Mus musculus: one gene and its partners. The protein of the gene in region 1 purifies or fractionates together with the protein of each later gene. This does not show direct contact. Links are inferred from orthologs where the notes say so. Each region holds a gene or a part of one and is shown on either strand. Other genes may lie near its edges.

Region 1 (3,500 bases):
CGGTGGGGAAGGTGGGGGAGGTCAGGACTACCAAAAACAAAAGAACAGCGACCATGGGAGGGATGTGGGGAAAAGGATGTGGATAGACGGCAGAAAAGGAGAGCATGTCAGAAAACTGTAGGGGCGTGCGTCTGTTTGTACGTGTGTTGAGTCTCCCTCTCTGTCTCTCTCCAACACGTAGGTACAATATGTAGGTGGGTACGTTATGTGTGTGTTTGATCCCTGGGTTGCTGGAGGAGGTTGGGGAAAGGGAGACGGGAGAGGGGAAGAGGAGGGAGGGAGGGGCCACCCCCAGCCCGGCCCCTGGCTGGCTCAACTCCATCCGTCCGTCTGGGAGGGGGCCGGGGGGTCTTGCAGGAACAGAGTCTGACGCGTGCAGGTTGGGGAAAGGGAATGGAGGGTGGGGAGGCACAGGGTGGGGAAACAGGGGAGAGGGCAGGGGTAGGAGGAGGGCAGTACCTCAGTAATGCCAAAAGGGATGTTGCCCACGTAGAGACGTCTGGCCTGTCTGGTCATCTGGCTCCCAACCACAGGCACTGGCGTTGGGGTCACAGCCAGACCATCAGGAGTCATGGTCGGGAGAAGGGCAGTGGCTGGAATCTGACCCGCAGCTTCAAGAGAGGTATAGAGAGTAAAAACCATCAGCAACCCTAAAACCAGGACCACTCAGTGTACACTGACCCTACCCAGCCACCCTCCAGACGATGATTTCAGGAAGCTCTTCAATCACCCAAGTCAACTCAGCAGTGGGGCCCCATCCAATACCCACTACTAAGAAGTCTGATTTCCTAAGCGGCCCACTGTGGAAGACATTCCCTCCTGCAGCAGCGCTTCCCATGGTAGGTACCAGAAGCCTTTGAGTATGATCCTTCAGATTCACCAAACATGTTCTCACACAGAACTTTAACTCCTAACACACACACACACACACACACACACACACACACACACAATATTTTAACCCCTACAACAGTCTATGGGAGGGAGAGGCCTACCTTGCATGGCCTTGTACTGCATTGGGGTGATGTGCTCAAAGCCAGGCGGTGGCACGTCCCAGTATTTACGCACCTTCTTCTTCTTCTCATGGCGGGGAGAACGACTGGGGAAGGGGGGAGGGGGAAAGTGGGGCAGGGCAACCTCAGTCTGACCAACACTGGGCCTCCAAGTCCCATAAGGGAACACCTCCCAGCCCACCACACCCTCCCACACATAAGCTCCACTCTCTCCAGGAGGGAGAGCTGGGCCTGGGCCTGAGGAGGGACACTGGCAGATGAGCCTCTTCCCCAGTGCTAGGGCCAGGGTGGGGATGCAAGGCAGGCAAATTGCACAGGTGAGGAAGGAGATAAGGGAGTGGACATGGGGCAGAAGGGGCAGGAAGAGAAGCTCACATCAATCCACCGTGCTCCTCTTTAGCGCCTCTGGTCAAAGGTTTGCTGAGGGGTGGGAGGGAAAGGGAAAGGTATGGGGAGGAGTGACTGGGGACCTTTGTCTTCCCCACACAACACACCATGCCCAAGGTCACTGAACCCCAAGACCAAGGCAGGACCGAGGAACATGCTGGCCCCCTCAGCCCTGCCAAGCCCCCCAACCCTACCATTCCCAGGAAAGAGGAAGTAATAAGCAGGAAGAGACTATGCCACTCTATGGAGAAACTGAGATAAGGAAGGAGGCTCTTCATATATCCCACACCTCCTTACCTAGAAGGAACAGAAAGAATGAGGGAACCCAGGAAAGGAAGATAACTCTAAATAACTAAACCAATAGCCCTGAGCTGGAAAATTAAGGCTCAGGCTTCAGGTACAGCCTGCCCTACTCCCAGAACACATCGGAAGAAGAAGAAACAGGGCTTCAAAACAGCCCCAAACAGAATGAGAGAACAAAACATTAACTGGGCCCTTAAAGACAGGGACAGCCTTGCCCTTAGAGAGAGGAAAAGGGAAAAAAAAAGTCTCTGTCCCCAGGAACTACTGCCCCCAGCAGTCCTTTAGCACTGCCAGAGAAACTGAAAGAAATCCCATAAACAGAGAAAACGGAGTTCAAGATAGACCAAGCAGTACCAACACAGAGACCAGTCATCCAGCCAGAGGTTCCAGAGCTCTAGTACCTTCGTCGTCTCCTATCCCGAGAGGCACTGCGCTGGTCCCGGTTGCGCCGATCTCGGCTCCTGCTCCTGCGCTTTCGATCTCGGCTTCGAGAGCGACTGTGACTACGCTTCCTGTGCCGATTCTCCTTGTCCCGCTCTGGACAAGTGTGAGAAGAGATGGAATGAGTGAAGAGAAAGTGCAGGCCCAGCCCACCCTGCGTGCTGGTGGCTATACCAAGACCCAGGGAGGCCTCCCCCCCAAGGGAAGGGATTTTAATAAAAGGAGACAACAGGCCTCCTGGGTCCACACACGAGTCTACAAGGACTCTGAGGAACCAAAGGGTCAGGGCCTGGAAATGCCCCCGGGGTGTAAGATACCTGAAGATGCTCAAGAGGAGCTGAGGAGCCAGAGAAGACAGAGGAAGCTGGCTCCTGTTCCCCCTCGAGGGCTGAGGGGCCTGACCTCAGGGTCGTCCCTGAGAGGGGCAGGGCTAGAGGCTGGGGAATCAAGAGACCCAATGATGTTTTCCTGAAGAAACCCACCAAACCCTCAGGAAAAACCTCTGCAACCAGCTGGTACCCACAAGCCCCACCATCAGACCCCAGGGTCAGGTGCCAGGCAGACCTAGTAACCTTAAGAAGTGAGGAAACTCAATTCCATCCCTTCCCAGCCAGGTGAATAATGCAAGAGTAAACACCCTCTGAAAGGGAGGGGCTTCTTTCTAAATGTACAGAAAGGAAGGAAAAGATACCTCCCAAACATTTCAACTCATGGTCCAGAAAGCCGCATCCACCAGCCCCTGGCTACCTCACTCCCTCAAAGCCAAAAGCAGGGTGGGCTAGAATAAGAACCTGTGTCTTCACCATTATCTACTGTTTCCTTTGCTTCTTTGCCTTAGAGGCCATGGCTACTAATAACAGAGCACAGCCTTGCAAGAAAAACTACAAAGCCTCAGAGGGCAAAGGCAGGCAGGTGGATCTGAGAGTTCAAGGCCAACCTGGTCTACATAGCAAGTTCCATACCAGCTAGAGGTACATTAGTTGGGTTCCAACTTAAACCAAAACACAATATAACTCCTATTCTGCAGACTACCCACTTCAGGTAGACGCTAAACCAGGATCGCCTTAATACATTTTCTTAATTCCAAAGTACCACCGATCTCTCAACCATCAACCCACGCACCCATACAGAGCAACACAACCAGGAGTGATGAGGCATGTGGCAGGCTGACACAGGAAAAGAAAAAGAGTTGGCTAGTGAGTTAAATTAAGATCCTATCTCAAAAACAAACATACTCAAGAACCGAAACAGGTGTATCCCAAAAGTATTGACTTCTAAGATTGGCAGTAGGAAAAAAAAAAAAAAAAAAAAAATCAATGAGAAAATTTTCAAAGTAGATTTTAAACTCACCTCACA
Region 2 (4,038 bases), on another chromosome or scaffold:
CAGATACCTCATTGTTATGCAGAGTCAGGCAGAGTTTGCACTCATAGGATCCCAAGTGGTTCTTCATAAAATACGGGTCCTGGGAGTGAATAAATGTACCGTTAGACTGCATGAACCAAGGACTGAGGCATGTGAGAGCTCTGTGGATGTGGGAACTGGCACCCCCTCCCCCCGACCTTGTTGATGTCAATGGTTTCCAGGGCCAATTGGCGCAGACGCTCTCTCCGATCCCGGTTGCTCTCAGAGGAGGAGGCTACGCCCCCACTCCCAGTCTTGCCTCCAGGTCTGTGCTGAAAGTCCATGATGCAGGCCTGGGTGCTTCAGGGGACAGGAAGAAACCTGGGGGAGTAAGGACAGCTAAGGCTCAGAACACTGTACATGATGCTAGGACGAGGTAGCCCAGCAGGCAGGTCATTCCCTTCGCTGAACTCCTGATCCTCCTAAGAGCTGTGACCACAGTTGAGCCACCTCTCCCCGGTGTTGTTGTTAATTTTTCTCATTATTATTATTATTATTAAGAGAGGATTCTCTATGTAGTCATGGTTACTCTCTACATAGATCAGGCTGGCCTGTGTGCCTGCCTTTGCAGGCATTAAAGGACACGCCCTCCTCCACCTGACACATGGCATATGGAGTGCTTGGTACCAAGGGTCCCATCTTTGAGGCTCAACCAAAGCCTATAGGCAGTGTCATCTGATGACAGAACACTTTAGACTACTCAGTGTCAGCCCCAGCCCTTGGTTTAAACCTATAGGTAAATTCAGAGACAGTACTCAGGAAACAAGTGGAGGCAGTCCTTGTTAATATTGCTGGAGCCTCCTGCAAATTTGACTTAAGAACCTTGAGGGCCAGGTACCTAGTTACCTCAGTGTCACCACAGAGTGTGTCTGGGACAGACAGGACACTGATACCACTGGCTGTCAAAGAGAAAGAGGCTAGAATGCAAAGGATACAAGATGCTCTAGATGCCGAGAGAATGGCTGAAAGATGTATATGGAAGTGGTGGGGCAGAACCAGCTTGTCGGATGTTTCATACTCAGCCACTTAAGGACTGAAAAGAGCATTGTCTACATCTTTGAAAGCTACTAAGAGACACATTCCCAGAGATGAAGTTGGCCAGATGCAAGAGCAGAGTCTAAGGGTGGCAGCATGGGCTTCTCAGAGCAAGAGGGCACCCGCAACAGCAGGATGGAAAACCACTTCAACCGCTGGCAAAGACAACTTTCAAGAACATAGGACTCTATACCTGGCCTCTGCAGGGAGCCTGGGTATCCAGCCACAGATGTGAGGGTGCACCTCAAGGGTGGAACACTTGTCCATCATGCATAAGGTCCCCTAGGGGTACATGTTTGAGGTTGAATGTGTATGGGTACCCACTGCAAAAATGCAGTTAGTTCATGAGCTTTGGAGGGAAAACAAACACTAGGACAAAACTGGCCTGGGCAGGCTGGAGAAGTGGCTCAGCGGTTAAGAGCACTGACTGCTCCTCCAGAGGTCCTGAGTTCAAATCCCAGCAATGATGTGGTGGTTCACAAACATCTGTAATGGAACCCGATGCCCTCTTCTGGTGTGTATCTAAAGACAGCTACAGTGTACTCATTATAAATAAATAAATCTTAGAAAAGCAAAACAAAACTGGGGCCTGGGTGAGCACACTGCTTGCTCTGTGGATGGGGCACCAAGCTCTGCAAACGCCCACCAACAGTTCCCAACCCCAGGAAACACAGAAAACGTAGGGCGTGGTGGTGTACACTTCTCATCCCATTTCTTTATCCAAGGTAGGAAGATGGTTAGGTTAGTGTTAGAGACCAAACCGGGCTGTGCAGTGAGATCCTATCTCAGATAAAAGAAAAAAGGGTGGCGGTAGGCTCCAGGGACTCTGATATCCCTTTCTGGACCCTATGGGTACCCCACTCACACACAAAGCTCCACACAGACACATTAAAACAAAATCTTTAAAAACGCGGGGAAGGGCATTTATCTGCTTGCTGACTACTGCTGCAACACGACCACCACGGCAGACCGCACCTTCATACCATCAGCCAAAATAAACCCTCGATTCCTTAAAACCAATCAAAACAGCCAAGTGTGGTGGCTCATGCTGTAAGTCCCACTATGCGAGAGAAGGCAGAGGCATGGCAATGTCTGTGAACTGGAAATCGGCCAAGTTTCCACACCGAGTTGCAGGTCAGCCCCAGTTAAGCAGTGAGACCCTGTCTGAAATAAATGAAAAGTTGTGCCGATGACTGGAGGGGCTCACACGTGAAACTTGGGACAGGAGGCCAGGACGCAGGGACGGGAGATGCGCAACCTCACGGACTACCGTAAGATTACCGATGAACGATCAATAAGGACAGAGACGTGGTATATGTTAAGGTAATGGTCTGGGAGGAGGCCTGGTCCCAGGACAAATCCCTTTTATGTGCAGATACCGTTATCTTTCAATCCCAGCAAGGGACCTGCTCCGGTGGACAGGAGCAGTGGTCGCCAGGGCCCCGATTAACGAAGGTGGAAACGGAAACAACCAAGGAGGTCAAAATACACGCCGAGACGCCACTCGGACACCCCGAACCACCCTGGAGGCCACAGAAGCGCCACCCAAGCCAGCAATCACGCGGCGACCCAACGGGCCTCGCGAGAGCGCGCTCTCCCGGCGGGCGCGCGCCGATCCTGAGGCAAGAGGGCGGCCGCTGCCTCTCCCCGTCCCGCCCCCGGGCTTTCGCTCCCACCTTCAAGCCTCCCCGACGGAGCAGCCGCCACCGACAAACTGTGCAGCTCCTCACCAACGCTAAGGCCTCGCTATCCGGGTTTAATCTCCGCCAAGGCCGCGGTTTCGCCGCGCGCGTGCGCACGACCGACGAAGCGATCCCTTCCGGGAGCAAAGGCGTCGGCGTTTCGTGTGTGCGCAGGCCCAGCGGATGGACTTCCGTCTTCGGTAGGCGGGAGAGAAAGGAGCGTCGGGGCGCAGAGTGCGCGTGCTCACTGCAGCGACCGCACAGTTTCGCTCCGCCCTAAGTCTAGCGGCGCCGGCTATCGTGACAAGAGGAAAGCGTTAGGGTTCACCGGCCCAGGAAGGCGCTTCGCTCATCGTGGAGTGCTCTGAGTCTAACTTACACCTCACGCTTAGTATGTCTGGCGGTTATTTAAGGACGGGCCATCTCCTTCCCGTCTGACTCTGTTCAACCGCGCAGACCCATAAATTAGGGCCGCGCAACCAGCCCAACAACGCGCAGGCGCAGTAACCGGGTTGGGACTTCCGAGATCGCTCTCTGAGACTTTTGTGGCGCTGGCTGCGGCTTCGGGGAGGACGGCGGCCGAGAGGCAGGGCGCGTGTTGGTTCGCGCGGATCCGTGCGGCGGGATGCGGTACAACGAGAAAGAGTTGCAGGCGCTGTCCCGACAGCCGGCAGAGATGGCGGCCGAGCTGGGCATGCGGGGCCCCAAGAAGGGCAGCGGTGAGCCAGTCGGGGCTGCGGCTGGGGCACTTGGGCGGGCCGGCGCGGTTCCTGGGTGGGCGAATGAGAACAGTTCCGCGCTGACACCGCCCTGTGCCTACAGTGGCCAAGCGGCGACTGGTGAAGCTGGTGGTCAACTTCCTCTTTTACTTCCGCCCGGACGAGGCCGAGGTAGGGGCGTGGGGGGCGCGGGGGACCCGCGCGGCCCGGAGGCCGGCGCTCATGGCCGTGTCTCGCGCAGCCCCTCGGAGCCCTGTTGCTGGAGCGCTGCAGAGTGGCCCAGGAAGAACCGGGCGGCTTCTCCATCAGTAAGTTTCCATCCCGGACTCTGCTCCGCACACCCGATCCTTTTTACTCCCTTAGGAGCCTACGTTTGTCCTGGATCCCGCGTCCGCTGGTGGCCCAGGACTGGCCCAGCTATCACTCAGAGTGCCCACTGGGTCTGGTTCTCGCTTAGTTTCTTCTCCGACCCCTCTGCCCGTTCCCAACTGAGAGAGGTGCAGTCTGCGAACGTGGGGTGTATAGCAGGAACAGTCTCTGCCGCCCTCTCTGCCACGGGTAGGGTACGGGCAGGCTTTAAGGCC
Region 3 (3,500 bases), on another chromosome or scaffold:
AAGCTTGGAAGTCTTAGGGATTGAGATAAAAACATCCTGAATTCAGGTACTAGGAAGATTCTAACCGATACTTTGCCCCAACCCTAAATTGGACCTCTGACGAAAGAACACTAATATTGAAAAGATCTCAAAGGACAGTGAGACATGCATAATAAGCAATGCTATTTTTTTTTCTTTAGATTTATTGTGGGCTGGAGAGATGGCTCAGTGGTTAAGAGCACTGCTGCTCTTCCAGAGGCCCTGAGTTCATTTCCCAGCAAACACATGGTGGCTCACAACCATCTTTTGGTGTGTCTGAAAACAGCTACTGTGCACTCATAAATACAAGTAAATCTTTTAAAATGTATATTAGTGCTCTATCTGCATGTATGCCTGAATGCCAGAAGGGGGCATCAGGTCCCAGTACAGATGGTTGTGAACCACCACGTGGTTGCCAGGAATTGAACTCAGAACCTCTGGAAGAACATTTGGTGCTCTTAACCCCTGAGCCATCTCTCCAATAATGCTAAATTTTTTTAGTGCTTGGGCTAAGGTATAAAGCCAGGATATGATAGTGAATTTGTGGTCTACATTAGCCTACATTATTTTTGGCTTGGAAGTCTTTCAGGGAGACTAAAATTTTTTCTTCCCATTAAATATATCATTGATGTTTGTTAACATTTTCTTCCATAGCCTTTCATGTTGTTGTTGTTTTTTTTTTTTTTTTAAAGATTTATTTATTTATTTTATGTAAGTACACTGTAGCTGTCTTCAGACACCCCAGAAGAGGGCGTCAGATCTTGTTACAGATGGTTGTGAGCCACCATGTGGTTGCTGGGATTTGAACTTCAGACCTTTGGAAGAGCAGTCGGGTGCTCTTACCCACTGAGCCATCTCACCAGCCCCAGCCTTTCATGTTTAACCTGCTTAAAAAATGAGAAAAATAAATTCAGATGAAGGATTCCATAAGTCATATAATTGGCACCATTGCTCTTGCATATATTGGGAGACTTCTCTTTGTAGTATAGATGTTTTAGTCTAAACCATTGTACTTTTTGAAAGTGGTAATGACCTTGCTTTTGTTTTGTTTAGACTTGGTCTTTCTTGTGTTTTGTTGCTCCTGGCTTGGGGAGTCTCATGTAGCCCAGGTCTGCCCAAGATCCTCCTTGCCTCAGTCTCTTGAGTGTGGGGTTACATGATTTACCACTACATCTGACTTTTATAGTTTTTCAAAGACTATGTATACCATTCTTAACAGTACTTGGTGAGATGGTTAGTGTTAAGTTCCTGTGACTGCTGAAGCCACATAAATGAGAGATGGTCCCTATAAAACTGTGCATCCTTCTGTAGTACGCAGAGCTCCAGCTCCATTGAACACTGTAAACTTTTCTCTAGATTACTTCATTACCTATAACTTAGTATTGATTAAAACTATCACTTAGCAAGTAATACGCAGATACTCCTGTCCTGTAAAAACTTACTGCTAATTCGTAGTGTAATAGGACCTTTCCTAGTGTTTTCAGCTTGTAACTCAAAAGAAGTAGCTAGCAAACTCTTCCTTGAACCACAGAAATCAATGACACTGAAAGGGGAACAAATTGGTTAAATATAGTAGAGCTGGAGAAAGTAATGTGTTAACACTAAAATTTTTCAATTTTACAAAAATAAATTCAAAACAAAACTTTTTAAAATTAACTTATCTTGGTTCCTCCGAGATGGCTCAGCAGGTAAAATGTGTCTGCCACCAAGTATGATGGGTCATATTTACTTTCCAGGGTTCCATGGAGAAAAAAAATTCACATAAATTATTCTGACTGGCCTCAGAATAATATCTAGAACTTGAATAAAATCAGAACACCTTTTTGTTGTAGTTGACTTTATGTGAATTGTTTAAGTATAAGGTAAAAGCAATTCATTCTAACTTACATTCTCTTAAAATTTCCATAAACTGGAAACAGTCCATTTTTTAAGTCTAGTCAAGCCTATCATTTACTGTATGTGTGAGGGGGGGCTCTTTCCTCTTGCAGCATTTTTCATCAAATTGAGTTTTGAATAACATAAAAAGGAAAAGAGGTGACTAAAACCAGTAATCCTGTTGTTATGCTCTGGTTGTATCTTGAGTTAATCTCTTCTCCTTCCTCTCCCCTCTCCCCTTCCCTCCTCCTCTCCTCTTCTCCTCTCTCCTCTCCTCTCCCCTCCCCCCTTCCCGTCTTCTCTCCTCTCCTTCCCTCCCTTCCCCTCTTCTCTCCTCTCCTCCCCTCCCCTCTCCCCTCCTTCTCCCTCTCCTCTCTTTCGTTTTTCGAGACAGGGTTTCTCTGTATAGCCCTGGCTGTCTGGAACTCACTCTGTAGACCAGGCTGGCTTCAAATTCAGAAATCCGCCTGCCTCTGCCTCGGGAGTGCTAGGATTAAAGGTGTGGGCCACCATGCCTGGCTGGAGTTAAATATTCACTTTGAAGAATTATTTCTTTAACCCACAGGATGTACAGTTACCCAGCGCGGGTTCCTCCTCCTCCTCCTATTGCTCGAGCTGTGGTGCCTTCCAAACGTCAGCGTGTTTCAGGGAACACCTCACGAAGGGGCAAAAGTGGATTCAATTCGAAGAGTGGACAAAGGGGATCTTCTTCCAAGTCTGGAAAATGTATGTTGTTTTTGTTTGTTTGGTGTTTTTTATGCAGCACACTCCACCTCCCAGGTAGTGCTTTTTTTTCCTGGCATTTGTGTGTAAGGGGTGGGGGCCAGTGTTTATTCCTGAGTGTTGATTCTTCTGAAGATGTAGTTGTGGGTGTGAGATAATCTGATTTGGGTGTTGAGAACTGAACTTCCCTGAGAGCTTCTGCAAGTATAAACTAGCAAACTCAACCACTTAGCTACCTATTCTTCCTGTTCTTGAGAAATTGCTAGCATTGACATAACTAGAGTGTAAACTTGAGTCTGGGTGATGTCCACTTAGTAAAGCTAATGCTTCAAGGGTAAGGACCTTGGTTTGTATCCCAAGCATTCATATAGAGCAGACCATCTTAGATGTCTTTAACTTCTCTTAGGCTGACACACAGCCCTGCACCTGCCTGCCACCTAACCTTGCAAAATCAGTGAGCTCCCACCCATTTCACTGAAAGATCCTTTCTCAAAAATGTGGAGGTGGATCCAGAGTAGTAATGGCTTTCATCCCTCCATTAGGGAGGCAGGGACACATCAACACTGTTCGTTCATTTGTTTGTTTGTTTTTGGAGACAGGTTTTCTCTGTGTAGCTCTGGCTGTCCTGGAACTCACTTTGTAGACCAGGCTGGCCTGAAACTCAGAAATCTGCCTCTGCCTGGGAGTGCTGGGATTAAAGGCATGCACCACCACTCTTTTAAAGATTTTATTTATTATATGTAAGAACACTGTAGCTGTCTTCAGACACTCCAGAAGAGGGAGTCAGGTCTTGTTACAGATGGTTGTGAGCCACCATGTGGTTGCTGGGATTTGAACTCTGAACCTTTGGAAGAGCTGTCAGTGCTCTTAACCGCTGAGCCATC
Region 4 (4,278 bases), on another chromosome or scaffold:
AAATTTTTAACCCTCGCCTTCTAGTATAAGGTCAATACTGCCAATTTCATCTGTGACAATAGCACTTGGAGTCATACCATTGCCTCCATTATTGATCTGATCCTCCTCAATCCTCCTTTTGACAATCCTAAAATGATTGAAATGTGCTCCACAATCCTTAATCCAAAGCATTCTTAATCCATCTCTTCAGATATGTCTACAGAAAGACACATGAAAAGCAAGATAAACATAAGAACTTCCCCCAAGTAAGATAACCACAAACACCCCCAACATCCCATTTCACACAAACCAGAGCAGAATAGACATTTACATAATATCACAGTCTGAAGAGCATGGAAATTAACTAAATTTAAACAATCCTGTCTATGACATCACTTAAAATACAAGTTACCAAAGACATGAGGGGAATGTAGATGTTAGGAGCAAGGGGATATTACACAAGAATGCAATTCAACACTTTAGCCCATTCTGAACAAAACAGCTTGAATTAAAAAAATGAAAAGATTGTACTGAGTAAAGGAAAACTGTATACAACATGGGTTCTACAAAAAGTGTCACCAATCATCTTATGTACGAGAGCGAGATCTGCTATGACGGGGAGAATAGCGTGGTGATCCTCTGCTTCTCCTTGGGGAGTAACTGCGACTCCTGCTGTTGCTTCTGCTACGGCTTCTGCTACGACTACGGCTTCGAGATCGAGATCTTCCATAACTTGGACTTCTGGGCCCATCAACTTTAACCCGGATGTAGGCAGTTTCTCCCTATTGGATAGACAGAACTTTCCATTGAAAGATCTAAGCTTTCACCTGTCTTCAGACAAGCTGAACGAATACAAAGACAGATCAGGGCTCTGGTAATTTACGTGAACACCCTTGCCTGTATCCTTACCTTCAAATTCCACTGTTAAGAAAACTGTATCCAATTCTGGCCAAAAAAAAGAATAAGTGTATAACCTACCTCGTGAGATCTAAACTTAGTGTTATCCAGTTTTCGAACTGCATACGTCATATCTTCTTTCCGTACAAACTCCACGACACCAGTGCCATCTCGGTAAACATCAGCGTAACATACATCACCTGCCTCACGCATGTGATCCTTTAAGTCCTGCCAGCTTCCACTCGGAGGCAGTCCTGAAAAAGCGATTCCCCCTAATTTAATACTACTCATCCTGTCCCACGGCAAACGTGTAAAGTACATTCGAACAAGGATTATTTTAAAATACTTAATGATTGTACTTAAGTGTTTCCAGGTAAAGAGCTGGTAAGAGTCAGATCCAGAGTCCAAATTTATTTGTAAAGGATCTTCATAGGCTAGTACTGCAACCTAATTTGGGTAAATCACCACCACAGTAATCTTTATTTACTAAATTCATCCCAAAGACCGAAGTAGTCCAAGACCCCGTGTGTAAAACAAAACAAAAACAACAATAACAAAAACCTTGCAGTACTCAAAGCAGTCATGCGGGAAAAAGATTTTAACCCGCACGAAGTCAACTCACCAGAGACAACCACTCTGTTCTCGGACCGCCTGGACGGCGGGCCATAGCGGCCTCTCGGGGCGCCGCCGCCTCCACCCCCGCCGCCGCCTCGGCCGGTCCCGCGGCCGCTTCGGGGAAACTCTACCCGCAGCCGGTAGCCGTCGTAGTCGTAGCCGTCGCGACCGTACACCGCATCTTCCGCGTCTCTGCGTGTGATCACAGAAAGCGAAAGGGGGGGGTGATGAGGGGAGGGAGCCGCCGGACCCAGCTCGTTCGCCCGCTCCGGGGGTGAAAAGCCGCGGCCACAGCGCACATGCGCACCCACGGGGCCACACGGAGCCCCACATGCGCCGCATAATAGGGCCGGCCCTTCCCCCACCCAGCACCACGCCGGGCAGAGGCTCCCGACCACCTCGCCGGCCCTCAGCGCCTCGGTTTCCCGCTCCGGGGGCTGCGCATGGGCTCGGGGGGTAGGGGGGACGTCCGAGGCGGCCGGCCACCGGAGACAACGCGCCGCCTCTCGGCTCTCCTGACTCGACTCCTGCAGGGGCGATAGCGCCTCGGAGCCCCTCCTCTCCCCCCATTATGTTCCAAGGCCTCCGAGCCTTCCCCAACTCCTCCACGCTATCTCCTCAAGGCCGCGCACGCCCCACGCTGCCTCACCGCGGGTCCTCGAACTCAACGAAGGCGAAGGGCGGTCCCCCGCGGCGGTTCTTCAGGTCGATGTCGCGGATGGCGCCGTATTTGTAAAACACGTCCTCGATGTCCTTGGTTCGGATATCCGGAGGTAGGTTACCCACGTAGATGCGGCAGTCGTTGTTCCCCGCCGGGCCACGGATCACACCACCTCCCGACATGGCGGCGGCGGCGACGACGAAAAGCGCGGACTCGGGGGGGGGGAAGGAAAAAAAAAAAAAGAGGCCTTCCTACCAAGCCTAGCGTACGGCAGAGCGAGCCCTCAGCGGCACCACGTCTCCCGCGGCCGCTCCAAAATGGCGCCTTTATCAGCTCGGCGCACTGATACCGGGGGGGAGGGGGAGGAAGAGAAGCCGGAGGAAGCGGCTCGTCCCTCCCAGTGCGCAGGCGCACGCCTCTAACGGGTGCTGAGAAGCACGCTCGCGCACGCGCGACGTCACCCTCCGCACGGAGGGGAAAAAGTCCCTCGCGTCCTGGCGGGTTGACTGGCTGCTGGAACGTCCAGGCGTTTAGTAAAAATCACATGCTCTGGTTAAAGCGGTTATTATTAATCCCCACTGAGTCCAGAATCGTCGGCCACCTCGGGGGTAGACCCTCTCTGAAAGCAGCTCGGCGCTCTAAAAAGATTGGGTGAAACCTATCTTGCAAGCGTGTCCCACCATGCTCCGCGGTGGTAACGGCCTTTGGCGGGAAAGGCGCCGCGGGGCGGAGATAGATGACGCTGAGCTGTTGCTCCGGAAACCTGGGCATCTTCTGCACTTCGGTGCCGCCGGCGGGAGTTGCAGGTGATTTCATTTAAAAGCCGAAGCGGAGCAGTGTGGCTTCTGCCTCTGGGAACCTGCGGTGGGCTGCATCTTAGTTAAAGTGTCTAGACGGATCCTCCATATCTATCTAAATGAAAACTGTGCCTTGAGTTTTCCTCTTCCTCCTTTCTAAGGATGAAAAAGGAAGAGTGATAAAACAGTTTAACTGCAGAGCCGAGATCCCGGTTCTGTGCTGGTCTAGGGAGATTATTTATTTATTTGTTTATTTTGCCAAGATTATCTGCAAAAGGATTCTTGCATTGGATACCACAATTTTGCTTCTTTGTTTTGTAATAACGGGAATAGAAGAGCCTTACGTGTGAAATCATACGGCCTTGTAGTGTTGTTAATGAACTCGAATTATAATAAAAGCAAACCAATCTGGACTTAAGCTTGTGTGCCTGAAATCCTATCACTCCGGAAGCTGAGGCAAGGAGGGTCCAGCCTACCCTGTTATACACAGTTCTAGTAAAGGTTATCCCGGAGCCAGGCAGTGGTGGCGCATGCCTTTAATCCCAGCGCTCGGGAGGCAGAGGCAGGCGGATTTCAGAGTTCGAGGCCAGCCTGGTCTACTGAGTGAGTTCCAGGACAGCCAGGGCTATACAGAGAAGCCCTGTCTCGAAAAACCAAAGGGGAGGCGGGGGGAAAGGTTAGCCCGGGACATTCAGGGAAACCCTTTCTATTAAAAATATTGAAAAACAAAACGTTTTCTTGGTGTTGTTTTTGTTTTGGGGTTGTTTTGTTTGAGACACGATTTCTCTGTGTACCCCTGGCTGTCCTGGAGTTCCTGCCTTCTGAGTGCTGGGATCAAAGTCACTACCTCCCAGCTAAAACCAGAGCCTTTCATGATTGGATAGAGACAGCCAGGCGTAGTGGTAAATGCCTCTTGAAGTTTTTGGGAAGCGGAATTTCAGGGTTCAAGGCCAGCCAGAGCTGTGTCGACCCTATCACTAATAAATATGCTAAGTCGGATCCCCACAGGTTCTAAGGGTGATTCTTTATACTGTAATTTTTAGTTTTTAATTTTTATGTTATGCATATTGTGTCTTGGGGTGGTGGGTCATGCCATGGCCCATGTGTGAAAGTCAGAAAATAAGGTGCAGTTCACCACTCATGCCATGTGAGCCCCCGAGATGAAACGTCAGGCTTGGGAGGAGCACCTTAACCAGATGAGTCACTGAGTCATTGCTGCCCCTGGATGTTATCATTTATTTACAACAGTCCAAGGATGTGGGGCTGCTTAAAATGAAACCATTAAATATTAAGACTGGCTGGAGAAATCAAGGACAGTGAGAGTGGGGG
Region 5 (3,500 bases), on another chromosome or scaffold:
CACGGGAGTCCAACTCCCACAGTTCCTAACTGGGCCAAGGTCTCCTCGATAAACACAATCCAGCAGCACTTGCTACTTGACAGTGTCAGTAGGTGAGCATGTGTGAGCACCAAGAGGCAAACCACAGCCAGCCACCCAGGGAGCACCCAGTGTCATACAGCTACAATCTAGGCCCCGGGGAGCCTAAGACAGAAAGATCAGGCATTCAAATTCAGCCTGGCCTACATACTGTATAAGAAGACATCCTAAAAAATGAAAATGACAGTGGTCAGAAGCCTGGTTTAGCAGGCAAAGACAGATGCTGCCTCAGTACCTTGGTCTGACCCCCAGGAACCACGTGGCAGAGAAAACTAACTCCTGAAAGCTGTCCTAACACCCACATATACTGAGCTACATGCCCCTACAAAGGAGTCAATCAAATGGAAAAGCCCATCAAATAAAAACACTCTAAAACAATAATGTAAGTCAGCTATTTTACTATATCGAATACTTTTTATCTAAAAAAATAACAACTGTTCATTTTCTTCCCATTTGGAAGAAATACCAGTCTCTTTAATGTTGTTACTATCTCTAAAATAATCAGTGAGTACAATTCTGCTGTTTTGTGAACAAATGAAAACAGAAATTCCTCCTGAGGGTCTGACTCAAGCAAAGCACCCCATGTACCTGCAGACCCCGATGGTGGGGGAGCTCCTGAGCGCTGCCACTCTGTGGCCTCTGCAGCCAGCCTTCGAATGTACTGCTCATTCACAGACAACAAGATGTTCTCTGGTTTGATGTCCGTGTGGATGATCCGGCACTTGGTGTGTAAGTAATCCAGGCCCTGTAGCACCTAAGTGAGAATAAAGCAGGAGCTTCAGTAACACACGGTCCAAGCCTGCTGGGAAAGGAAGAGTCACAACGCACAGAGAGAGGGTTCGCAGGTGCAGCTGGCCCAGCAGCGAAGAGCATTGGGTTCTTCTTCCAGAAGACCCAGGCTCAATTCCCAGCAACCATATGACAGCTCACAAGCACCTTAAACTCCAGCTTAAGGGAATGCTCATCTGGACTCTGCCTATGCATGACGTAGACATGGAGGCAAACACCACACAGACATAAGAAAAAAACAAACTAAAACAAAAGCCCACAATGCCAAGTTTTCTTGTCTCCACACTCGCATGCAGACAATTTCCAAGTGAGTCACTTCCCAGCCCGATCCTCAGTCTGTGTTTTGTCAGGAGAAAACACCGGAGGTTTTTAAATAAAGATACCATCAGCCAGGTGTAGTGGTGAAACCCTCTAATCCCAGCACCCAGGAGGCAGAAGCAAACTTAAGTTCTGGGGCAGCGTGGTCTACATAACATAGTTAGATACTTCTCAAAGAGGCAGGCAATAGAGGGGAGGGGTATCCCACATAGCAATAACCAACATACATACTTGCTGAATAATTTTTTTGACACAAGGCAGCGGAAGCCCCTGATAGTTGGACTTGATGATCCACTTGAGTAGATGATGCCCCAAAACCTCAAACACCATGCAGATATCTAGGAGTTCATTAAGGAAAAAAAAAAAAAAAAAAAAAAAAGAGGCCCAAGGAAGCAGGTAGACTCCAGCATCAACAGTCTTTTCAGTCACAGAACTACTTTAAAAAAGTTGGTTTAGGGGGCTGGTGAGATGGCTCAGTGGGTAAGAGCACCCGACTGCTCTTCCAAAGGTCCGAAGTTCAAATCCCAGCAACCACATGGCGGCTCACAACCACCCATAATGAGATCTGGTGCCCTCTTCTGGTGCGTCTGAAGACAGCTACAGTGTACTTACATATAATAAATAAATAAATAAATAAATAAATCTTTAAAAAAAAAAAAGAAAAGAAAATTTAAAAAAAAAAAAAAAGTTGGTTTAGGAGGAGAAAACACACTCAGAAGGTGGAAGGAAAGATCAGTCTAGTCGTCCCCTCAGAGTCAGGTTCCCCTCAGAATATCGGGCTTGTGTGTGTGTGTAACATGACCACTCACACAGGCTCAACATGAAGAACAAAGAAGATGCAAAACTTAACTGAAAGGTGAAGGTGGCAAGCTCTCTGCCTGTGGTAGAGTGGAACATACCTAGTGTTTGCGAGGGAAGTACCTCGGCACTGGACTAACCCTCCCTGAGAATTTAAAAACAGATCCCTGACTCGCTTTATACAGACACTCCATGCATCGATCTTAATGCCTGCGTGCTGCCTACCCACGGTCTCTTCATGTGGCCCAGACTGGGTGGAGAAGCACCACCACTCTGCAGGCCATTGGGTTAGCATCCTACTTTAGGGTCAAAGTTAACATAAAGAGTTTGAGGAGAGGCAGCACACGTTTACTAGAGAACACCAAGGCCAAGTAATAAACTGCCACAGTGGGAGAACATGGCGCCTGTGGACTCAGCCTCCGGAGAGACCTGTAGGCGACCTATGAGACCAGTGTCATACAAAGCATGTCACCTTCACAGCGGGCAGCATCTCAGTGATAAGCCTGATGGATCTGCTCACAGGTGCTGATACAGCACGATAAAGAACACACATCCCTCAAGGTACAATAGACAAAACTGACAAACCCGAGAAAGCAACCACAGACCTAAATTAAGGGATCCGACAGGTGGGCTCTTTTTTTTGAGACAGGGTTTCTCTGTGTAGCCCTGGCAGTCTTGGAACTCCCTCTGTAGACCAGGCTGGCCTCGAACTCAGAAATCCGGCTGCCTCTGCCTCCCAAGTGCTGGGATTAAAGGCGTGCGCCATCACTGCCTAGTGGGCTCTTATTTGCCTGATTCAAACAGACAAACTTAAACAGATGATGGCAGGCACTGGGCAACAGGGGCAGGAGTCCCTCAGGAGGAAGGTCTTGAGACTCTAGGTAGACTCTCAGTTGTGAATCTAGGCATCCCAGGTGGAAAAACAACAAGGTACCAAAGGGAAAGCTAGACCACCATGGTGGATATTTGCCGATGTCCCTTTTAAGTATTCACGAGTGCCCACGTACCAGGCACAGAAGCATCAGGAAGGATGGGAAGAGGACAGTAACCAGCTTCTGCTCAAGGGCTGCAACTATGCACTCACGCACGCAAAACCAGAGAGAAAGCCAGGCGGGGTGACGCACGCCTTTAATCCCAGCAGTAGGGAGGCAGAGGCAGCAGACGTCTGAGTTTTGAGGCCAGCCTGGTCTACAGAGTGAGTTCCAGGACAGCCAGGGCTACACAGAGAAACCCTGTCTCGAGAAAACAAAACAAAACAAACAGCAGCAACAACAAAAAAGCTCTTAAAGGATACGTGTTCCATTAACGCCTGATATTTTAAAGTCATCTAGTAGTTGAACAACCATTTCTCCATTTGGATCATTCGGGTCTGAGTTGCGAACCTGTGTTGGGAGGAAGCCATATTTTAGCACAAGTGAAGTAGTACAGTCAGTCCTCAAGTAAACAGGGAGGAGCAGGCTGTCTGAGCCTCTTTCCCACACTGCTGTTACTACAACCCACCATAAAAAATGAAAAGA
Region 6 (3,500 bases), on another chromosome or scaffold:
GTCGGGACGGAGACTAACTTGTCCCACCTCTCCTCAGCCTCTCCAACTGTGTCTCTTCTCCTCTGTGCCAGACTTAGAGATATACAAGTTTCTTCTAGGAAGCCACTTAGAGGTGGTAAACTAGGGAACAGTTTGTGGTCAACATCAGTGCCATAGCATGTGGCAGTTTTATGTAACTTGGAAAAAGCCTAGTGTCACGGCAATGGCTCGGACTACCCTGCAGATTCTGTCCCAACCTGTGAGCCCTCAGGTCGGCAGGTGACTTACTCGTTTGTGCTGCCTCGCCAGTTTCTCTTTAGCTTCTTCTAGCTCTTTCTGGATCTTCAGAACATGTTTGTTCATCTTACGAATTGTAGAGTGCAAAATTTCCCACACAAACAACCTTAAAGTAATACAGCATTTGGTTAATGTATGTTATGCTACTGCAGAGGAAATATCTACAGTTTCAGCCTATCATTCTTAGGGGCTGATGGGGCCTTCTGTCCCCTGGGAAGAATGAAGCAGTCTTTTCCAGCAACACTAGTTCAGCCCTGCGGTGAATTATGAAGCATCCGTCTCCACACATTAGTCAGGCAGGCGGCTCCCAGGGGGCAGGACCATAACCTGTACTTGTCCACCCCTTAATAAAACACCAACATTAGAGTTGGTTCTCCTACCATGTGAGCTCTGAGGATCAAACCCAGGGATCTCAGACCATTAGGCTTGACAGCAAGCCCCCTGACCCTCTGAGCCATCTTGTTGGCCCTGTAAAAACTTTTGATCATATGACACTTCAGGCCTCGGTATATTTCTGACAAGTGTGCTCTGCAAATAGTGGGTGTAGTGGAAAAGTTAAGACTGTCACAGATTTTATTTCATTTGTTTTCACAATATGTTAGCCCTTGCTCTTTGGTCCTGATCACTATAAAGCCTGTGTAACATCACACTGTTACTGGTGATACAGTTCTGGTTCAGACCTCGTAAAGTCCCGAGACAGCTCCGATGAGAAGATCCAGTTTGCTACTGCTGCACAGTCGACAATCTGCGTACGAATCATCTTATCAACCAGCACAGCAATCATCTACGACAAGGAAGAGACAAGCAGGCACGGTGGTAAACAATGCTAGGAAATGAAATAGTGCGGCTATGAAATGTGATTTCAATGGCAAGAGAATTGACCAGTTTAAGCCATAGCTCGTCTTTTTTTTCTTCTAGACACGGTTTCATATAGCTAGGGCTGGCCTTGAACTCCTGATTTTCCTGCCATTACTTCCCAAGTGCTGCCATTAGTCTTGATTAGACTAGTCAGCCTTTAGATTTATTCTGCCTTCTGCTATGCTCTAATATTATAAGAAAACTATATTAATAATAAAGATTGCATGAAAAGACAACTCTTGAATGGTAGCACATACTCTTTAAGAAAACTTTCATTGATAATACCTCTATAAAAATATATAAGCCGGGCGTGGTGGTGCACGCCTTTAATCCCAGCACTCGGGAGGCAGATGCAGGCGGATTTCTGAATTCGAGGCCAGCCTGGTCTACAGAGTGAGCTCCAGGACAGCCAGGGCTACACAGAGAAACCCTGTCTCGAAAAACAAAAACAAAAACAAAAGAAAAAAAAGTATATATATATGTCTGGCCCTACTTAAAAATGTTATGGGTCTTGTTTGTAGAAATGGATAATCATGACAACTATTTCCTACCAAATATTGTGGTCAAACAATTTTCTTCCTCAGCATCTAATATGTGTGGAATTGCTTTAGCACAAAACCAATCCCAATGCCACCTGAAGAATGTTACCAAGGTCCGGCGAGATGACTCAATGGCTAAGACACTCGATGGCAAGTTGGACAAGCCAGGTTCAATACCCAGGACTCACCATGGTTGAAGGAGAGAACAGACCTGAAATTTGTCCTCTGACTTCGCATAGGCCCCGTGACCCTCCCATGCACCCCTAAGCAACAGCTCAGTGTAATTTAAAAATCTACCAAGAAGAATGTATCAGTTAAGTATTTCCATAACACCCAGTGTACAGACTTAAAAAACATTCTACTACTGGCAGACTCCAATCTACCTAATGTCATACGTGTGTATCTCCATAGCCAGGCCCACGTCCCAGTGAGCAGGCGTTACCTGTGGATGGTTCCTCCACACTTCAAACATGACTCTCAGCACGTGCAGCTTCCCCTTATCACTCTCCGCCAGAGTTTTGAAGACTTCATGAAACCTTTAGACAAAGGTGCAAAGTACCAGAGTTACTCAGAAGCCCCTTTAGTGTCACTGAATTTAAAATATAGCACATAATAAAAGACAAAGAGTCATCCCTAAGCCCACACATGTGTTGGAACTGCGCCCGAGGAAGCTTCATCAGCTTAGGAGAGTGCTCTTTCCTCATGGACTCTTACCAGATTTGCTATCGTTACATGCCAACCCTCGGGCAGGCTCTCGTTGCTGCTTCCTCTCCTGGGAAAGGCGTCAAGATAGGCCGGACCCTCAGCCTGTGTAGACGACTGTCCCCGGGACCTAGGCTGGCACTGCTTTACCCACCACATGCACAGCTACACTGCACACACTCAAGGAAGCCACCACAAACCAAACCCCACTCTAGCAAACTATGTAAGAAGATCTTCATATTTAACAACTTTAGGCAAGTTAGTACAGCACTGGTGCTCAAATGTATATACTTACTTTGCAAGAGCACTGAAGGAGTGACTGAAGGACTTGGCAGCTAAGTGCAGCAGAGTCTGGACAAAGACCTCTATTTTCAAAGGGTTAAATCTGAACCCTTCATCTGAAAAATATTTTATAGTAAGATTTAAAAAAAGTTAACTGTCGGGCAGTGGTGGTGCATGTCTATAATCCCAGCACTTGGGAGGCAGAGACAAGCAGATTTCTGAGTTCGAGGCCAGCCTGGTCTACAGAGTGAGTTCCAGGACAGCCAGGGCTACACAGAGAAACCCTGTCTCGAAAAAACGCCCCCCCCCTCCCAAGTTAACTATAGTAATTCTTTGGTGCTACACCTTGTACTGCTAATAACATATGAACATATAATAATGTTCTAGTAAAAGCAACACCACACTCCTGATTTCACACATTGACAACATAAAACTAAGTTGGGCCAGCCAAGGCTACATAGCAAGACCTCATGTCAATCCCTCGTGAAAAAGCAGACCCTTAACTCTCTCTCATGGGAGAGTTCTTCTATATAGCTCAGGGTTGTTTTTATGGCAGGCTCTCACTATGCACTGTTGTTGGCCAGGAACCTCAAACTTGGTTGGATTAACAGGCTTGCACTACCACTCCTGGCTTATGACCCGTTTGCTTAAAACCATCACACATCCCTCTTCCATATTCTGATTACGAGATGTCAAAATGTTAAAGCAAAACCAGCAAAACCTTTAAACCTACAGCTTACAACTTCTGCCAAGTCTAAACCTCCTGTTACCACAGCTGACTAACACGTCTTCAGTGCACTCCCAAGCAAAGGGCTGTCTCTGCAGACCAGTCATCTGCTCTTT
Region 7 (3,500 bases), on another chromosome or scaffold:
CCTTGGAAGTTGGAGGTAGAAGAATCAAGAATTCAAGGTCACTAAGGATGCAGCTCAGTGGGCACAGTGCTTTGCCTAGCATGCATAAAACCCCTGGGTTGAACCCCAGCATTTGTACAAACCAGGCAGGGTGGCTACCTCTGTAATCCAAGCATTCAGGAGGTAGAAGACTACAAGTTCAAGGTTATTTCTAGCTATATAGTGAGGGCCATCTGAGTTTTAAAAGGCCCAATCTATATCCCCCCCCCCCCCGTCACCCCCCTCCCCAATACAACTAAGAGTTTAAGGTCATTCTTGATTACATAAGGACTTTGAAGCCTATCTCAAAAAGAGAAAAGGGGGAGGAAAAAAGCAAAGGGGCAGAGAGAATTTTCTGGCAGGAAAGCAGAGGATATACCTGAACATATAACTCATGTTCAAGGGCAGGAGAGAAATGTAACCAAGTCTGCAGAATCTTTTGAGTTTGAATTTTCTCAGAAGTGGGGAGAGTGACACATTCCATTCCCAGTTTTTGGAATATCTAGTTACAATATTGACTGTTGTGAAAACTGCAACTCAGAGAATCACGGGACTAGGAAAGATAGTTGGCTTTGACTCTACAGCTTATCCCAAAGAATCAAGGAACACACCAAGAACATTGGAATGTGAGCCATTTCTGCATGAGGAAACAAGAAACAGGTGTCTTGATCCAGCAGCCACCCACATCTTGGTTTAGCTGAGAAGGTGCAATGCAAGCAGGGGACGACTGCATCCTGGTCATCAAAGAAGCTTTCCAGAAAGGTTGCCTCGTGTTAAGAATCCACAACCAGACTTTCACCCCATACTGTGTGCTCAGACCTACAACTGCTAAGCATGAGTTCCCGAGGAACCAAACCAGCTATGAGTTTAATGGAGGAAATCAATTTTTCTTAAATTTACTTTTTTTGTGTTTTACAAGTCTGTGACCGTAGGAATACTGCTTTGCTGACTCTTATGTAAAAAGATGACAACACTGCCTCCTCTCAGAAACTCTGAAAAAGCAGGAGTGGTAGCATTCACCTATAGTTCCAGCAAATGCAAGGCAGAGGCAAGAGAATCATGAACTTGAGTTTTGCCTAGGTTATAAAGTGAGAGTCTGCTTCCAAAAACTAACTAGAAAAGAACTGCAAGGATGAAATGAGCACACAGCATGACACATACCAGGACACCCAACAGCTGCCTGTACACCTGCAGGTAGAACAATGGCAAGGCCCATGGTCGCTCTGGAGCCCATGGACAGTGGTGGGTAAGACTAGGAAAGAAGCTCCACTGCTCCAACTCAGCAGCATCACCAAGCCACGACACAGGAAGCACAGAGAGCCTGTTACACACTTACCACATTCATTGAACTTGTCCTTTAGCATCTTCCATGTAAAATCAAATGGGAGCTGAGGAAAAAAAGAGGCAGACTAATCTGTGATACAACAAAGTCTTAATGTACAAACATTCTACTAGATACGAGAATATGACTTGAAGGCACTTGGGCTGGAGTGCAGCTTATGGGGTATACAGTGATTTGCCTAGTGTGTGGACAGCCCTAGATTGAACCCCCAGTAATCCCTCAAATCCTCACTTGCTGACCTCAAGACAATCAGCAGGGAACAAAACAAGTCTATGTAGAACTAGGCTACTAAGTGGCACAACTCACAATCTGGTGACAATACGTAACTCAAGCACAGCTACCTTTCTCAGAATCACTGTGCCAAGGCTGAAGTGCTCCTCAAGCCAGGGACCAGAAACCACAGACCTTTAGAGCTCAGTCTATTCCTCACCTGGCATATCACAGGCAATGCCAGGCAATTGTATTTTTGTTTCTTTGTATTTTGGAGACAGTGTCTCACCTGGTAGCTCTTTTTAGACTGGATCCCAGAGTGCCACTTCACCTTTGCCTCTAGAGTGCTGGAATTAAAGGAGTGGACCACCATGCCTGGCACTAAGACTACTGCTCTTCCAGTAACCCCTCAACTTCCAGTTCAACTCTGGAGATAGGCAAGCTGTATCACCCGTACTGCCCAGTTCTCCCTTCATCAAACTTCCCTCTCCAGTCTACATCATTCAGTCTACTGGCCTCCCCACTTCACAACAACCACAAGAAAATTCCACTAAAGAACCACTTACATTTCTCACAAATATCTGGCAGGCCTTCCTGGCTACTCCAGGTGCATGGCCTCCAGCTCCGCCAAAGGAACCTGCGAAGCTTCCTCCAAAGTTGCCCCGCTCCATCTCAATGGCTCGGTCAAAGCTAGCACCTCCGGCTCCACCCATGGCCAGGCCCATTCGCTCAATACCAGCGCCCAATGCTGGGCCCATGGCAGGGCCCATACGTTCCAGGCTGTTGGCGCCCATTCGCTCCAGGCCCATGCGCTCAAGACTGTTGGCTCCCATACGCTCCAGGCCCATGCGCTCCAGGTTGTTGGCGCCCATGCGCTCCAGGCCGGTGGCCATCCGATCCATCACAGGACCCATGCGCTCCAGGCTGGCCCCCATGCCTGTGGGCACCATCCGATCCATGCTTAGGCCCATGCGTTCAATGGCAGGACCCATGCGCTCTACACCAGAGCCCATGCGCTCAATGGTTTGGCCCACACGGTCAATGGGTGCGGCCATGCGCTCCAGGCCGAAGCCCATGCCGGCACCCATGCGCTCCACGCCAGAACCAATGCGCTCCATGGTCTGGCCCATGCGCTCAATACTGGAGGCCATGTGGTCAAGGCCTAGTGGGCCCATGCGCTCAATGCTGGAGCCCATGCGCTCAACTGAGCCCATGCGGTCCATGACCAGGCCCATGCGCTCAATCTCAGAGCCCACTCGATCCATGCCATGGCCTAAGCCTGCGCCCATGCGCTCCATGCCAGCACCGCTAATGCGGTCAATGCCAGGGCCCATCCTCTCGATCCCAGGGACACTGCCTCCAGCTCCACCTGAAACAGGAATAAAAAGCACAAGTAGAAGTCAGAGACTTATGTAGATGTTCATATACTAATGTGTGCCTGGCTGGGCACTTCAGATCCTAAGCTCAAATCAGGAAGTCATGCTCAAAGTAATTTACTATTAAAACAAAAACAAAAAAAAACCTCTTGAAAGTTTTCACATTGAAATCCACACAATCATCCTTTCCACTACATAGCACAGGTAAAAATTTCACAATAAAATTTAGAAGGAATAAAACTTCACCTCCATACTGGCTATGAGTTGTCATACTTCAATTTCTAAAAACCTTTGTAGTGTCCCCATCAGCAGACATTACGAATGCTCTTTAAAAAGCACAGAAAACTTCATACTCAGGGTAACTGACAGGAGACAATTCAAAGTTACTTACAACCTTCAAGTTGAGAGAACCTGTCCCTCTTAAAATGCCCTGCTGATGTCCACTATTGCTGCAATTCCTTTAGCACTTCTAGGGCACAAAATAATCACACAGCCATGTAAAAGATAAAACAAAAATGACCCTCAATATACACAAGCATACAAACTGATCATTT

The links.
Region 2: the proteins of U2af2 (region 1) and Sf3a2 purify together in Homo sapiens (affinity purification with mass spectrometry; 3 studies listed by BioGRID and IntAct, with this or other methods). This does not show direct contact. The link is inferred for Mus musculus from reciprocal best matches to the Homo sapiens genes U2AF2 and SF3A2.
Region 3: the proteins of U2af2 (region 1) and Hnrnpc fractionate together in Homo sapiens (co-fractionation; 3 studies listed by BioGRID, with this or other methods). This does not show direct contact. The link is inferred for Mus musculus from reciprocal best matches to the Homo sapiens genes U2AF2 and HNRNPC.
Region 4: the proteins of U2af2 (region 1) and Srsf1 purify together in Homo sapiens (affinity purification with mass spectrometry; 4 studies listed by BioGRID and IntAct, counting the BioPlex papers as one, with this or other methods). This does not show direct contact. The link is inferred for Mus musculus from reciprocal best matches to the Homo sapiens genes U2AF2 and SRSF1.
Region 5: the proteins of U2af2 (region 1) and Srpk1 purify together in Homo sapiens (affinity purification with mass spectrometry; 3 studies listed by BioGRID and IntAct, counting the BioPlex papers as one, with this or other methods). This does not show direct contact. The link is inferred for Mus musculus from reciprocal best matches to the Homo sapiens genes U2AF2 and SRPK1.
Region 6: the proteins of U2af2 (region 1) and Ncbp1 purify together in Homo sapiens (affinity purification with mass spectrometry; 3 studies listed by BioGRID and IntAct, with this or other methods). This does not show direct contact. The link is inferred for Mus musculus from reciprocal best matches to the Homo sapiens genes U2AF2 and NCBP1.
Region 7: the proteins of U2af2 (region 1) and Hnrnpm fractionate together in Homo sapiens (co-fractionation; 4 studies listed by BioGRID, with this or other methods). This does not show direct contact. The link is inferred for Mus musculus from reciprocal best matches to the Homo sapiens genes U2AF2 and HNRNPM.

The regions. Positions count from the first base shown.
Region 1 is NC_000073.6:5,065,143-5,068,642, reverse strand, and holds part of U2af2 (splicing factor U2AF 65 kDa subunit), read right to left. Parts: intron 2,582-3,500; exon of another isoform or gene 2,462-2,581; intron 2,241-2,461; coding exon 2,105-2,240; intron 1,434-2,104; coding exon 1,389-1,433; intron 1,100-1,388; coding exon 996-1,099; intron 612-995; coding exon 460-611; intron 1-459. UniProt on the Homo sapiens protein: Plays a role in pre-mRNA splicing and 3'-end processing. By recruiting PRPF19 and the PRP19C/Prp19 complex/NTC/Nineteen complex to the RNA polymerase II C-terminal domain (CTD), and thereby pre-mRNA, may couple transcription to splicing.
Region 2 is NC_000076.6:80,797,497-80,801,534, reverse strand, and holds the start of Sf3a2 (splicing factor 3A subunit 2), read right to left. Parts: upstream 2,801-4,038; 5' UTR 2,730-2,800; intron 340-2,729; 5' UTR 303-339; coding exon 177-302; intron 80-176; coding exon 8-79; intron 1-7. Other genes in the region: Plekhj1 (pleckstrin homology domain-containing family J member 1), read left to right, coding at 3,361-3,454, 3,558-3,625, 3,696-3,762. UniProt on the Homo sapiens protein: Component of the 17S U2 SnRNP complex of the spliceosome, a large ribonucleoprotein complex that removes introns from transcribed pre-mRNAs.
Region 3 is NC_000080.6:52,076,522-52,080,021, reverse strand, and holds part of Hnrnpc (heterogeneous nuclear ribonucleoproteins C1/C2), read left to right. Parts: intron 1-2,458; coding exon 2,459-2,619; intron 2,620-3,500. UniProt on the Homo sapiens protein: Binds pre-mRNA and nucleates the assembly of 40S hnRNP particles. Interacts with poly-U tracts in the 3'-UTR or 5'-UTR of mRNA and modulates the stability and the level of translation of bound mRNA molecules. Single HNRNPC tetramers bind 230-240 nucleotides.
Region 4 is NC_000077.6:88,045,895-88,050,172, reverse strand, and holds the start of Srsf1 (serine/arginine-rich splicing factor 1), read right to left. Parts: upstream 2,801-4,278; 5' UTR 2,335-2,800; coding exon 2,141-2,334; intron 1,684-2,140; coding exon 1,499-1,683; intron 1,131-1,498; coding exon 958-1,130; coding exon of another isoform or gene 904-957; exon of another isoform or gene 762-903; coding exon 567-761; 3' UTR 1-566. UniProt on the Homo sapiens protein: Plays a role in preventing exon skipping, ensuring the accuracy of splicing and regulating alternative splicing.
Region 5 is NC_000083.6:28,602,022-28,605,521, forward strand, and holds part of Srpk1 (SRSF protein kinase 1), read right to left. Parts: intron 3,366-3,500; coding exon 3,278-3,365; intron 1,524-3,277; coding exon 1,417-1,523; intron 833-1,416; coding exon 667-832; intron 1-666. UniProt on the Homo sapiens protein: Serine/arginine-rich protein-specific kinase which specifically phosphorylates its substrates at serine residues located in regions rich in arginine/serine dipeptides, known as RS domains and is involved in the phosphorylation of SR splicing factors and the regulation of splicing.
Region 6 is NC_000070.6:46,166,011-46,169,510, reverse strand, and holds part of Ncbp1 (nuclear cap-binding protein subunit 1), read right to left. Parts: intron 2,774-3,500; coding exon 2,671-2,773; intron 2,210-2,670; coding exon 2,116-2,209; intron 1,061-2,115; coding exon 957-1,060; intron 383-956; coding exon 268-382; intron 1-267. UniProt on the Homo sapiens protein: Component of the cap-binding complex (CBC), which binds cotranscriptionally to the 5'-cap of pre-mRNAs and is involved in various processes such as pre-mRNA splicing, translation regulation, nonsense-mediated mRNA decay, RNA-mediated gene silencing (RNAi) by microRNAs (miRNAs) and mRNA export.
Region 7 is NC_000083.6:33,647,459-33,650,958, forward strand, and holds part of Hnrnpm (heterogeneous nuclear ribonucleoprotein M), read right to left. Parts: intron 2,940-3,500; coding exon 2,137-2,939; intron 1,407-2,136; coding exon 1,355-1,406; intron 1-1,354. UniProt on the Homo sapiens protein: Pre-mRNA binding protein in vivo, binds avidly to poly(G) and poly(U) RNA homopolymers in vitro. Involved in splicing.